3 linked regions of the Ovis aries genome follow. The protein of the gene in region 1 purifies or fractionates together with the protein of each later gene. This does not show direct contact. Links are inferred from orthologs where the notes say so. Each region holds a gene or a part of one and is shown in the gene's direction. Other genes may lie near its edges. The genes, in order: CDH1, PLEKHA7 and SRC.

Region 1 (3,744 bases):
GGTCTGTCTGTGCCTCAATGTCTGTATAGGACTCTGTCTTATCTGTGGTGTCATTTTTGTTTTGTTTCTGTTTTTTAAATTAAGTGTGGTTAAACCCTTGTGATGAATATATTAAATAAATACATTTTGGGGTTTTTATAGCAAAAGAAAAATAATTGACATATAACATTGTACACATTTATCAGAAACAAAATGTTGATTTGACACATATATTGCAAAATGATTACTACCATAATAGCTAACACTTAGCTAACACATACCTAACTCATTGCTAACACCCCCATCATATCACATAATTACCATTTCTTTTTAAACACACTGTAGTTCTGATCATGCTTCAAGGGTAAAAGGAAAGATAATGTCCCTTACATGAGACATTGAAGCGAGTTATTTGCAAATGACAGGTTTGGCTGATCTCTGATGGATCTCTTCCTGTCAACATTAAAGGACAGATTGAAACCTCCAGCTCCAGCTGGAAGATTATGTGGGGCCACATGAGCTGAAGCCAATAGAACAGGCGGTGGAGGTGGGTTCCAGTCTTCTATATATCAAAGTGGCTCAGTTGTGTCCCAGTCTTTGCAACTCCATGGACGGTAGCCCACCAGGCTCCTCTGTCCATGGAGTTCTGTTGGCAAGAATACTGGAGTGCGTTGCCATTCACTTCTCCAGATCTTCCTCATCAGGGGATTGAACCCAGGGTAAAAGGAAAGATAAAGTCCCTTGCATGGGACATTGAAGCTAGTTATTCTTGCAGATTCTTTACTATCTGAGCTACTACTTCCTACTGGCCTCAAATTCTTTATGCCTGGATTGTCCCTCTATTAAATGGGAATAATAGCACAACTCTTGTGTTGTTTTGAGATGAAGTAAGATGGTTAATGTCAAATGCTTAGCACAGAGCCTGTGACACAGTAACTTTTAATGCCCAGTATCAATCGTTACTTATTGTCCCTCACATCTGCATAGAGCTTTTGTGGTGCACGAAACATTGGTCTTAATTAATTGTATGACAACTTCACAACAACACAGGAAGGGATTTGTGATTATTTTACCATTTAGTAGGTGAAGAAACTGATACTTTGAAAGGGAAGATTCTGCCCAGTGAACTGATCTGTCGATTCAAGAAGCGATGGAGATCTGAAGTAGGTAAAGGGTGAAATCTCTCTGGCGCCAGATGTTGGTGAGCCACCGCGAGGCTGGTATTCAAGTCTAATGGTAACGGGAATCGTGGAGCCCCTACCATTGCGTTACTCTGACTACTCTCAGATCACCCGGTCTGCTCGCGGCTCCGGGGCGGAGCGTCCGCCCCAGTCAGCGGAGGAAGCGGAGGCCTTGCCGCGCCGCTCATTGGTTGAGGCCGGCAGGTGCATCCTCAGCCAATCCTGGTGCCGGGGGCGGGGCCGTCGAGGCTCACCTGGCTCCCGCGGCGCCCCGCAGCTCAGTGGCGTCCGGAGCCTCTTAGCACCTGTGAGTTCGTAGAAGTTCTGCCAGACTCTAGCCCGGCCCAACTCAGCTAGATCCTACTCAGCCCGCGCCCGGCCTGCCATGGGCCCTCGGTGCCGCAACCTCTCTGCGCTCCTGCTGCTGCTGCAGGTACGTTGGGTCCCCTGACTGCGCGGGATGCCTTCCGGCCCCATAAGCCGCGCCCCAGCCCCCAAACTCCTCTCTTCCCTCCTGTCGTCCCCTGCTCCCTCTTATTCTAAAAAAGTTTGGGTCCAAAGGGCCTGAATGGCCCGGAAACTGCGCCGCGCTCTGGACTCCATGGGGAAGGGAGTGGGAGAGGGAGCCAGTGAGGGTGAAGGGCGAGTACGGCTTTGCGGACGGCCTCCCGCAAAAGCCAGAGGTGGGGGCGCGCCTCGCTGCAGCCTCCGGGTACTCGGGTGGGCGACGGGCGGGGAGTAGAGGGCGTGGAGTAGGGATGGGGAGCCCCGGTGTAAGTCCGGGCGGAGCCGGGAGTAGTGGGAACGAGGAAAGGAAAGCGGAACCAACAGATAAAGTCACCTGCCCTGTAAAGTGTAGTGAATAGGTATGCCCCCCACCCTCCCCGGGATAAGAAAGGATGTGAAGAGGCTGGAGCGCCGGCGGTCTGAGGAACCGGACTTAGGAGTGCGAGCGGTCCCGGTATAGGGAGAGTGGAATTGGGAAGAGTAAAGATGCCTCCGATGAAATTGAAAAGGAGACTTTCAGGAAAGCGCTGCTGAGGCCGGAGGGGAGCCAGCAGCCTTCCCTCCTGAGAAGTCCTGAAGGCTTGGCGGCCACAGGTTTCCGAATGAAAGAGTTTGACGTGGCTGGCTGGCTGCCCTGTGGGGAGGAATGGGGGGAAATGGGGGTGGGGGAAATGCGGGAGAATGGAGGGGGTGGGGAGGTTGGGGGGGTGTGGGGAGTGGGCGGGGCGGGCCCACCCCTCCCACAGTCCTGGTGCCAGCAGAGGGAAGGGAGGCGCTGCTGGTTTCGGTGTGAATAAGAGGAGACCCCCCCCCCCCACCAAGTCACCCCGGTTTCATACCTTTCCCCTACCCCAGGTCTCATCGTGGCTCTGCCAGGAGCCGGAGCCCTGCGTGCCTGGCTTTGGCGCTGAGAGTTACACGTTCACCGTGCCCCGGCGGAACTTGGAGAGAGGGCGAGTCCTGGGCAGAGGTGAGGGCGCGCCGCCAGTGTCCCTGGGGTGGGAGTGGGCAGGGTCGGAGAAACGGCGCTCCTACGCCCGCGAGCTGGCCTGGGCGAGCACCGTCTTTCCTGGCTCTGGTGACACACCTTTGTAGATTACACAGATGCGAGGATCTAAACTTTTGCCAGGATAGACGTTGGGTTTGAGGGGCTGTCTTGTATGGTTGACTTAGTTATGGGGGGCACTTATTAGGGGCCTTCAGTGTGTTTCATATTATCCTGACCACTTTAAGTCTGTCTTTTCCAACGTCTAAAACCTGATGTGTGGGAAGAGGGTGGTGGGGGAGGTGGCAATTCCCGTTTTTTTACAGATGAGCAAATGGGAGGCTCAGGAGGGTGGAGTCCACTGGCCCCAGGGTCAAAGTAGGAATCTGATCTAGGTTCTGACTTCCAGGCCCCATTCAGCATCTCTGGGATGACTGAGGAGTCCTCTCTTGGTTACCAGGCTGTGGCTTTTGCTCATAGAGATGAAAAAAGATTTTTTTATACAGGTACTGTTTCCCCAAGGAATAGTGGCACGTGCGGTTTTTTGGTGTTTTTTTTTTTTTTTAAGCCTGGTAGCCCTGACTCAGGAATGAAAAGCAGACACAGTGTACTTCAGGGTCTTATCACTGTGATAATCAGGACTCTAGATTTTGGTTTGTTTCACTTTGCCCGGGAGTGAGAGCAAGGAAAGGTTGGTTTCTCTTCTGGTTTCACTGATCTCCAGGTGCTTATTTTCTACCAAAGGGCTTTCTCCTCCCTCTTGATTTAGTTGATTGGACGAGTATCATAACAATAAAAGAAACATTTTTTGAAAGGAAGACTCACCCACAATACCCCTAAGGGAGTTCACTGTTTATTCTTCCAGTGTTTGGTCACGTGAAAAATGCAGCAATCATGCTATAAGATTTTTTTGGAACTTTGGAAATTGTTCCAACAGTAGGCAATTTTTTTTTTTTTTAATAGACAAACTGCAGTTTGATTGATTAAACATATTTGTTTTTCTGAGGCCCGTCTGTGTTGTGTGGAGCTTTCTATTGGGTCAAAAAGGAAAAAATGAAGTGTTGTCTGCTTGATTTTGCAGTGAGTCCCCCA
Region 2 (3,644 bases), on another chromosome or scaffold:
CTCAGCATCCCCGTCACCACATGCTTATGATGCCTTCCCCATTGCCCACCAAGAGGGGCATCACACCACCCCCTCCATTTCCCAAGGGCCCCCGCCCTTCTCCCCGCTCTCACCCAGTGAGCCACACCCTGAGTTCTGGTCCATCACGCGGTGCAGGTGTGCCCACTGGGCAGGCCTGGGCCTCGGGGTCTGCATCTGCAGGATTGGGTGCTGCCAGAGGGCCCGTGAGGGCTGGGTTGTCATGTCCCCGAGTGTGCTTAGAGGGGAGAGGGAGAGTGTGTGTGTGTGCGTGTGTGCGTGTGTGTATGTGTCTCAGTGTGCTTAGAGGCGAGAGTATGTGTGTGTGTGCGCGCGTGCGTGCGTGCATGCGTGTAAGAGAGACTGGGCTGAAGCCAGGTGGCCGCGCGCCCTCTGGTCTCAGCCCAGCCGCCCTGTCTGCTCCCCCTGCCCCTCAGAGACCCAAGAGTGCCTTGGAGCGCCTGTACTCAGGAGACCACCAGCGGGGCAAGATGAGTGCGGAGGAGCAGCTGGAGCGCATGAAGCGGCACCAGAAGGCGCTGGTCCGGGAGCGCAAGAGGACGCTGAGCCAAGGAGAGAGGACGGGGCTGCCCTCGGCCCGCTACCTCAGCCAAGCGCTCCCGGGAGACCTCGGCTCAGTATGTTAGGAGGGTCCAGGCAGGCGGGGCTGGGGCAGGGAGCAGAGCTTCCCCGAGGCCCCCAGACCCAAGCCCGGCTCACCCCCGAGAGAGTGGCTCAGAGAACACCCCGTGGGCTGTGTGTCCACAAGCCAGGCCGCGTCAGTGGCTTGGTCGGAGGGTGCCCCGAACTAGAGAAAGGGTGAGGCTGTCACGGCAGGAGCCCAGGAGCCAGAGGAAGCGTCCACGGTCAGGTCTCCAGTCGAGCTTGAGGGAGAGGCCCTTCTTCGGCATTCTGAGTCTCTCACCTGAACCCAGGACTTGGGAAGTACAGAGTTGGAGGAGTGGAGGAGAAAGATGGTGCTATGATTTGAGGAGTGCAAGTCAACTAGCCTCCCAAACCTCCAAGCAGATGCCCTGGGGAGCGACTGAGCAGAGTACACCCCTGAGGGCCTGGTGTCCCCCACAGCTAGCGGTGCGGACAGGCCCTGCGCCCCCGGAGAGCCAGGCTGCCTGCTGCCCTCTGGTGGTGCTTCCAGGCACTGCACCCTGCCCACAGTCGCCTTAGGTCCCTTTTGGAAACATTCCATTGGATTTTTCTCTATTGTTTGAAATCAAATGTTTCCCTAGACCTCTAGCCTGACTGTTCTTTCCCTAATTCATTGCACAAGCTCTTTTGCTTTTAGCGTTACTGCTCATTGCCTCTCTAATCCTGCCTGATTGTGTTTACAGAAGCTTCTAATTTGCATCCACCATTCTCTAACTGGCCTGTGCTCCTGTTACTAGGCTTACAATAGCAGCTCTTTTCTCCATAGCCTAGCGAGCACTCCCATGTGTGACTCACTGTCTGCTGCCCCCTTTATGCAGGCTTACTGACTCATAATTCACTTATCCCCAAAGCCGCCCCGCAAGGCTGAGCCAGCCCCACTGCCCAAGGGCGGTGGTCTTTGCCAGAGGTCTGGGCGTGATGAATTTATTAAAGTCCATGCCTTATACTGGGATAGTAGGCATGGACTTCAGAGACTGCACGTTTGAATAAGTTCTGCCAAGTCTGAGGTGGTTCAGTTTTAATTCCTCCAGCCCCATCGGCACAATTTCTTATGGAAAACTTTTTGTGTTGTAGTATTTTATAACTTGAACAGGTAGCAAGATACGTTATGATCTGTATTCAGAGGGCCTCTCGGCAGCTGTTAGCTCAGACACCAAAGGGATAAGACCCAGCACACTCATATCCTAAAAAGCTGCAAAGCCAGTAACTTTTAAACTTTGTAAGTAAATGTCTTATGAGATAAAACTGAGTTTTTACAACCTGATGTCTCAAATGTAGAAAAATGATCTAAAAATCGTAACTTGAATACTTTGTAATTTTTTCTCTTTAAAAAAGACTTGTGTTAAGTCTCTGCCTCAGCGCCAATAAACGTGTTGCTTAATGATGATGGATTGGCGTGGTTCTTCCCCAGGATACACTGTACAGTCCAGTGAACTTTTTCTGTCTGTGGAAGCAATCAGGCTGGGTTTATGTGAGGACCTGTCTCTATTTGGGGCATTGGTGAGCGTGTCAGAAAATGTGTGTATTCTTTGTGAATCAATCATTAAATTAAATTTTCATCCCCGAATCTTCAGCTGTCTAATCCTTTCATACTTTGGTAGGAAGCCATCACCTGAGAGCGATTACGTTGACGTAGAGTCAGTATTGAGAGCTTGTGCATGAGTGGGTGAAATGTGCTGTTATGGCTATGGGTTTGGGGCTTGGGTGAGTGGGGCCGGAGGGGACATTAAAGACGATTGTGACCACTCGGGGCTCTGTGAGGTGGATGAGGTGAGAGAGGGAGGAGGCAGCCTGGGATGGAGAAGTTTCTGCTTGGCTTCTGCACAAGAAAAGGGAGGCTTTGAGCCCATCACCTCCTCTTGGCAACCTGCTCAACATGGAGTTCTGTGGGGACAAAGGCCACAGGTGATTAGGAAGGCCCAAGTGGAGCCCAACCATTGTACTGGGTTTTGTTTTTATTTTATACTGGCATATAGCAGATTAACAATGTTGTGATAGTTTCAGCCATATGTATGTGTCTCCATTCTCTGTGCTGGGATCTTAAAGTGGCTGGGTTAGACTTTCCCTCTGTGAAGCTTGCTCATTACAGAGCTGGGAATGTTGAGTTTGATTTAGCATTTAAATCTTACACGGCTTTGGTTTTCCAACTTAAATAGATGCCTGGCACACAGCAGCTTACCTGCCTCAGTGGTCCTCAGCTGCTCCTGCTTGTACCTCCCCAGCCCTCACTGTGTCCTTTTGGGAAATCCCACGAGAGAGCATCTTGGCTACCCTCCTTGCTTACCAGGGCCTCAGAGGGTTTTGTTTTTCCATTGTTTCTGAGCTGGGACATAGGACTCCAGAACCAGGAAAGGCTTCCATGAGCTATCAGGTGGCAGAAGCAGCAAACCCCTTCTCTGGAGCTCTGTCCCACATTCTGTTTGGGGGTCACCTTCTGGGACCTGGAGGCTTCCTGTATCCCTGGGGACTATTGTAAGTCTAAAGTCGTGGATCACAGACCTGTGCCCTGGAGGTCGGAACACCCGGGGGCCAGGTCAGAGAGACATGAGCAGTCTGGAGTTGGGCCCTGTTCTCTCTGTCACACAGTTTGAGCACACACACGGAGCATCCATCTCACAGACCGCTGCTGCCTTCTGTCAGAGACGGTGTTGAGGTCCATGGTCATACAGCTTTTCCCTAACGAGTCACAGACCCAACTTCCCAAGGACCCTGGTGCCCAAAAGACCCACCTAAAAGGGCCGGTCAGGAAGAGACTACATTTCACCCTCTCCTTCTGTTGCCAGTGGAAGCGTGAGCAGGACTTTGACCTGCAGCTGCTGGAACGGGCTGTTCAAGGGGACAGAAAGGACAAGGAAGAGAATGGCTGGCTGAAGGTGCAGGCCATGCCTGTCACTGAATTGGACCTGGAACCACAAGACTATGACGTGGACATCAGCAGAGAGGTGAGGGCGGGGGCTTCC
Region 3 (3,744 bases), on another chromosome or scaffold:
GGAAGGTGATGGACTCGTAGAAGGTACAGCAGCTGGGCAACCAGTCTAGATTTGAACCCAGATCAGTCCAGCTTAAGGCCTTGCTCATTCCTGGTCTCCCAGGTACTGTACTGTACCCTGAGGCCCTTGCCTCCCACAGTCTTGAGTTTCCCTCCCTGCTCCTCTCAGGAGAAGTCCAGGCTTCTACCATTTGACCTGGACTGGGCTTTACTTTCCCATCTGTGAAATGGGAAAACTTTCAGAGAAGGAAAACAGAGGCAGATGGTGGCATTTAAAGCTGGATTCAGGCCCACCTTCCCCTGTGCAGTAATCCCAGGAGGACCTGTGAAAAGCCAAAGGCAGGACTAGCACATGTGCTCAGTTGCGTTTGACTCTTTGCAATCCCATGAACTGAAACCTGCCACCAGGCTCCTCTGTTCGTGGAATTTTCCAGGCAAGAATACTGGAGTGGGTTGCCATTCCCTTCTCTAGGGGATCTTCCCGAGCCAGGGATCGAACCCACGTCTCCTGCCCTGGCAGGCAGGTTCTTTACCACTGACTATAATTGCCACTGAATACCTGCTTTGGCCCCTCCTAAGGGGCTTACTCAGAGAAGGCAATGGCACCCCACTCCAGTACTCTTGCCTGGAAAATCCCATGGGCGGAGGAGCCTGGTAGGCTGCAGCCCAAGGGGTCGCTAAGAGTCGGACACAACTGAGTGACTTCACTTTCACTTTTCCCTTTCATGCATTGGAGAAGGAAATGGCAACCCACTCCAGTGTTCTCGCCTGGAGAGTCCCAGTGATGGTGGTGGAGCCTGGTGGGCTGCCGTCTGTGGGGTCGCACAGAGTCGGACACGACTGAAGCAACCTAGCAGCAGCAGCAGCAAGGGGCTTACTGGAAGCCCTTTATAAGTTCCTTATCTGGAACTTATTGGCTTCTTAGTTACTTTTTTTTTTTCTTCTGATGCACTTTAAAATGAATGCATAGCTATTAAGATAAAAATGCTGCTCCTTACCACACTGTCCTGCCTGTCTCAGTCCCCAGTTTGGGAAATTCAGGTTAAGGCCAGGGTCCAAGACCTGGCTTTTGTCAGGTGAGTCCCTTCTCTGTGCCTCAGTTTCTTCATCTGTAAAATGGGGGTGATCATTGGCCTGCCCAGCCCACTTGGTTGGTAGGAATAGATCCTAAAGTTGACCTGAACAGCTTAGCATGGCACCGGGTAAGGAATGAGTTCTCCATCAGTGCTGCTGTTACTGATTATCAGTAATAATTTCATGAGAGGTAGACTTGGGGTCAGTTGGGTGGGTGGGTTGGGAGGAGTTGGGGAGGGTATTTTGGCTTGAGAGCTGATGGGTGGGTGCCCCATGGGAAGGGAGCACTCTCAGGGCGGGGTAGGGGGCGGGGCTTCCGTGGCCGGAGCCCCCGCCCTTCCATTCCCTGGCCGCCGGGACCCCGGGCGTGGGGAGGCCGCGCGCGGGACTCTCCCAGGTCACCGGCGGGGACCCGTCCCGGCACGCTTCCTTCTTCCTCCCCCTCCCGGCGGCCTGCCGGGCCCCTCCTCCCTGCTCGCGCGCTCCCTCCCTCCTCTTCCCCTCCCCGGGCCGCCGCCTCCTCCTCCTCCTCCGCCTCCCTTTCTCTCTCGATCTGTCTCTCCTGGCCCGGAATCCATTCCGGCCCGGGAGCCGGAGCGGCCAGGCCGCCGTGTGCCCGAACCCCTGGCCGTCCGGCGGTCCGTCCTCCAGTGCGTCTGTCTGCCCGGTGCGTCCGTCTGCCTGCCGGTCCAGGTGAGCGCCCCCCGCCCCTCCGCCGGCCCCGGCTCCCGGCCCGCGTGAGGGAGCCCCCCGCCCGGGGACCACCCTGGCGTCCGATCGCTGGGCCGCGGGGGCTCCTGCCCCCCTCCAAACCTCACCCCTCGAGCCAAGCGGCGATCCCGGGGCGCAGGGCGGGCGCACCGGGACTTGTCTGGCGCGGCCTTTTGTTGTGATGCCGCGGGGGGGGGGGAGGGGTTTGGTGGGGGGCGTAGGGGTCTTGTCCTCGCGAGGACCCCCCCCTCCCGCTCATGCTCCCTCTGCGGGCCCCCTGAGAGCAGCGAGCCGGGCCCGAGCCCCCAGGCCAGGTCTAGGCCAAATCTGAAATCTGAACCAGTCGGCGCCGCCTCTGGCCGCCGCTACCCAGCCTGGCGCCCCCAGCCCGGGATGGGAGGTGGAGAAGGGCCGGCAGGGTGGGCCTGGGGGGGCGCCGGGCAGGGGGTGCCGGGCCAGAACACCAGGATCTCCTTGTCCTCGTGGGGCCTTGGGTAGGGCCTGGTGCTGCCGGCCTGGAAAGGACTGGGCCAAACTGTGGTTGGTCCCAGCTGCCCACAGCCCCCAGCCTCCTCTCTGGGCAGGCCCTACCTCCGGTCTGCTCAGAAGTTGGCAAAAGTTTAAGATTTGGCCCCCAGGCCGGGTCCATCTGCCTGCCTGGGCTGGGGTTGGTGGTGGGTTTGAGTCCCAGTGGGGGCTCCGCTTTCCTGCCCTGCTGTGCTTCCTTGAGCAACTGCCTGCCCTCTCTGAGCTGGGGGCCCTTGTCAGGTCCAGCTGTGGGCCTGGCTGAGCCTACTGGGCTGGTGGAAGGACTGGGTGAACAGAAGGGGCTCACCTGTGGGGTAGCAGTTCAACCTCTGGGGCCTTCAGGCGGACTTGAGAGTCGGCAGAGCCTGTGGGGCCCTGGGTGAGGTGTCCCCGGCTTCAGGGACTCTGTCCAGTTGGGGCAGTGGTCTCTGGATCACCTGGGGTGACTCCAGGCCTGGCTTCAGTCAGCTGAGATCAGACTTGATTTTAAGAATGGAGCAGGCTGACGCTGTTGCTGACCCTCATCTTGGCTTTCTGGCTGGAGAGACAAGACCTCGGCTTCTGGTCACACTGGGCTACCTGGGCCAAAGGACCGCCCCTCTGAGTCTGCTTGTGTGCGGTGGGGATCCCCAGGGGAAACCTGTAGGCACTTCTGCAGGTAGGGCCTTGGCATGTAGTAGGTGTTCAATAAATGAGCATGGCACTGGATGAATGGCCTGAAAAAGATGGGCATGAGATGAGATGGCTGGCTCTTGTGGGGCTTATTCCAGAAGAGGGTGGATCGGTGTCCCCAAAGCCACCTCCTAACCCCTTGAGGAGGAACCAGCCTCAGTGCAGTCTTGCCACCCAGCACTTGAGACAACTCGCTTCTCCTTCTGGCCTCAGGTTTGTTCAGTATAAAATGGGCTTGTGAGAATGATAGCTGCTAACATCTATCGAGTACCTCCTAGGAGGTAGGGACTTTTGTGTATCCCCTTTTTGCTGGGGAAGAAACTGAGGCTCTGAGAGCGGAAGTGACTTGACCGAGCCACATAGTTTGAAGCTGGAATGAGAGCCTAGAGCTCAGAGTGCCCGGTCGGGCTGTCCTTGTTCCCTTCCCGTGATGGAGGAATGGGTGTTTCTCAGTATGGGACCAGGCACACGACAGTGTTGGAAGAGACTCGGATGAGTGATTGTGTGGATGCCACGAGGCCCTTTGGGTGAGGTGGTGTGCTGTGGTGATGTGGTCTTTCCACCCAAGGAAATGATTTACAGTGTGTCACCTCTCAGCTGACTGCCTGCCTAGGCCCTCCTGTGTGACTCCAGGGCCTTTGCTCCTGAGGGTTTCCCTGCCGGGAGTGCCCTCTCCTCTAAGAGCTGCTTGTCTGCTTTTGCTCTTTAAGGCTTCGTTTAAGGCCCACCTCTTCCAGGAAGGCCTCCCAGCTTTCTCCTC

The links.
Region 2: the proteins of CDH1 (region 1) and PLEKHA7 purify together in Homo sapiens (co-immunoprecipitation; 3 studies listed by BioGRID and IntAct, with this or other methods). This does not show direct contact. The link is inferred for Ovis aries from reciprocal best matches to the Homo sapiens genes CDH1 and PLEKHA7.
Region 3: the proteins of CDH1 (region 1) and SRC purify together in Homo sapiens (affinity purification with western blotting; 5 studies listed by BioGRID and IntAct, with this or other methods). This does not show direct contact. The link is inferred for Ovis aries from reciprocal best matches to the Homo sapiens genes CDH1 and SRC.

Annotation. Positions count from the first base shown.
Region 1 is NC_056067.1:35,612,591-35,616,334, forward strand, and holds the start of CDH1 (cadherin-1), read left to right. Parts: upstream 1-1,440; 5' UTR 1,441-1,545; coding exon 1,546-1,593; intron 1,594-2,506; exon of another isoform or gene 2,507-2,522; coding exon 2,523-2,637; intron 2,638-3,744.
Region 2 is NC_056068.1:35,414,894-35,418,537, forward strand, and holds part of PLEKHA7 (pleckstrin homology domain-containing family A member 7), read left to right. Parts: intron 1-455; coding exon 456-656; intron 657-3,467; coding exon 3,468-3,626; intron 3,627-3,644. UniProt on the Homo sapiens protein: Required for zonula adherens biogenesis and maintenance. Acts via its interaction with CAMSAP3, which anchors microtubules at their minus-ends to zonula adherens, leading to the recruitment of KIFC3 kinesin to the junctional site.
Region 3 is NC_056066.1:66,271,780-66,275,523, forward strand, and holds the start of SRC (proto-oncogene tyrosine-protein kinase Src), read left to right. Parts: upstream 1-1,414; 5' UTR 1,415-1,766; intron 1,767-3,744. UniProt on the Homo sapiens protein: Non-receptor protein tyrosine kinase which is activated following engagement of many different classes of cellular receptors including immune response receptors, integrins and other adhesion receptors, receptor protein tyrosine kinases, G protein-coupled receptors as well as cytokine receptors.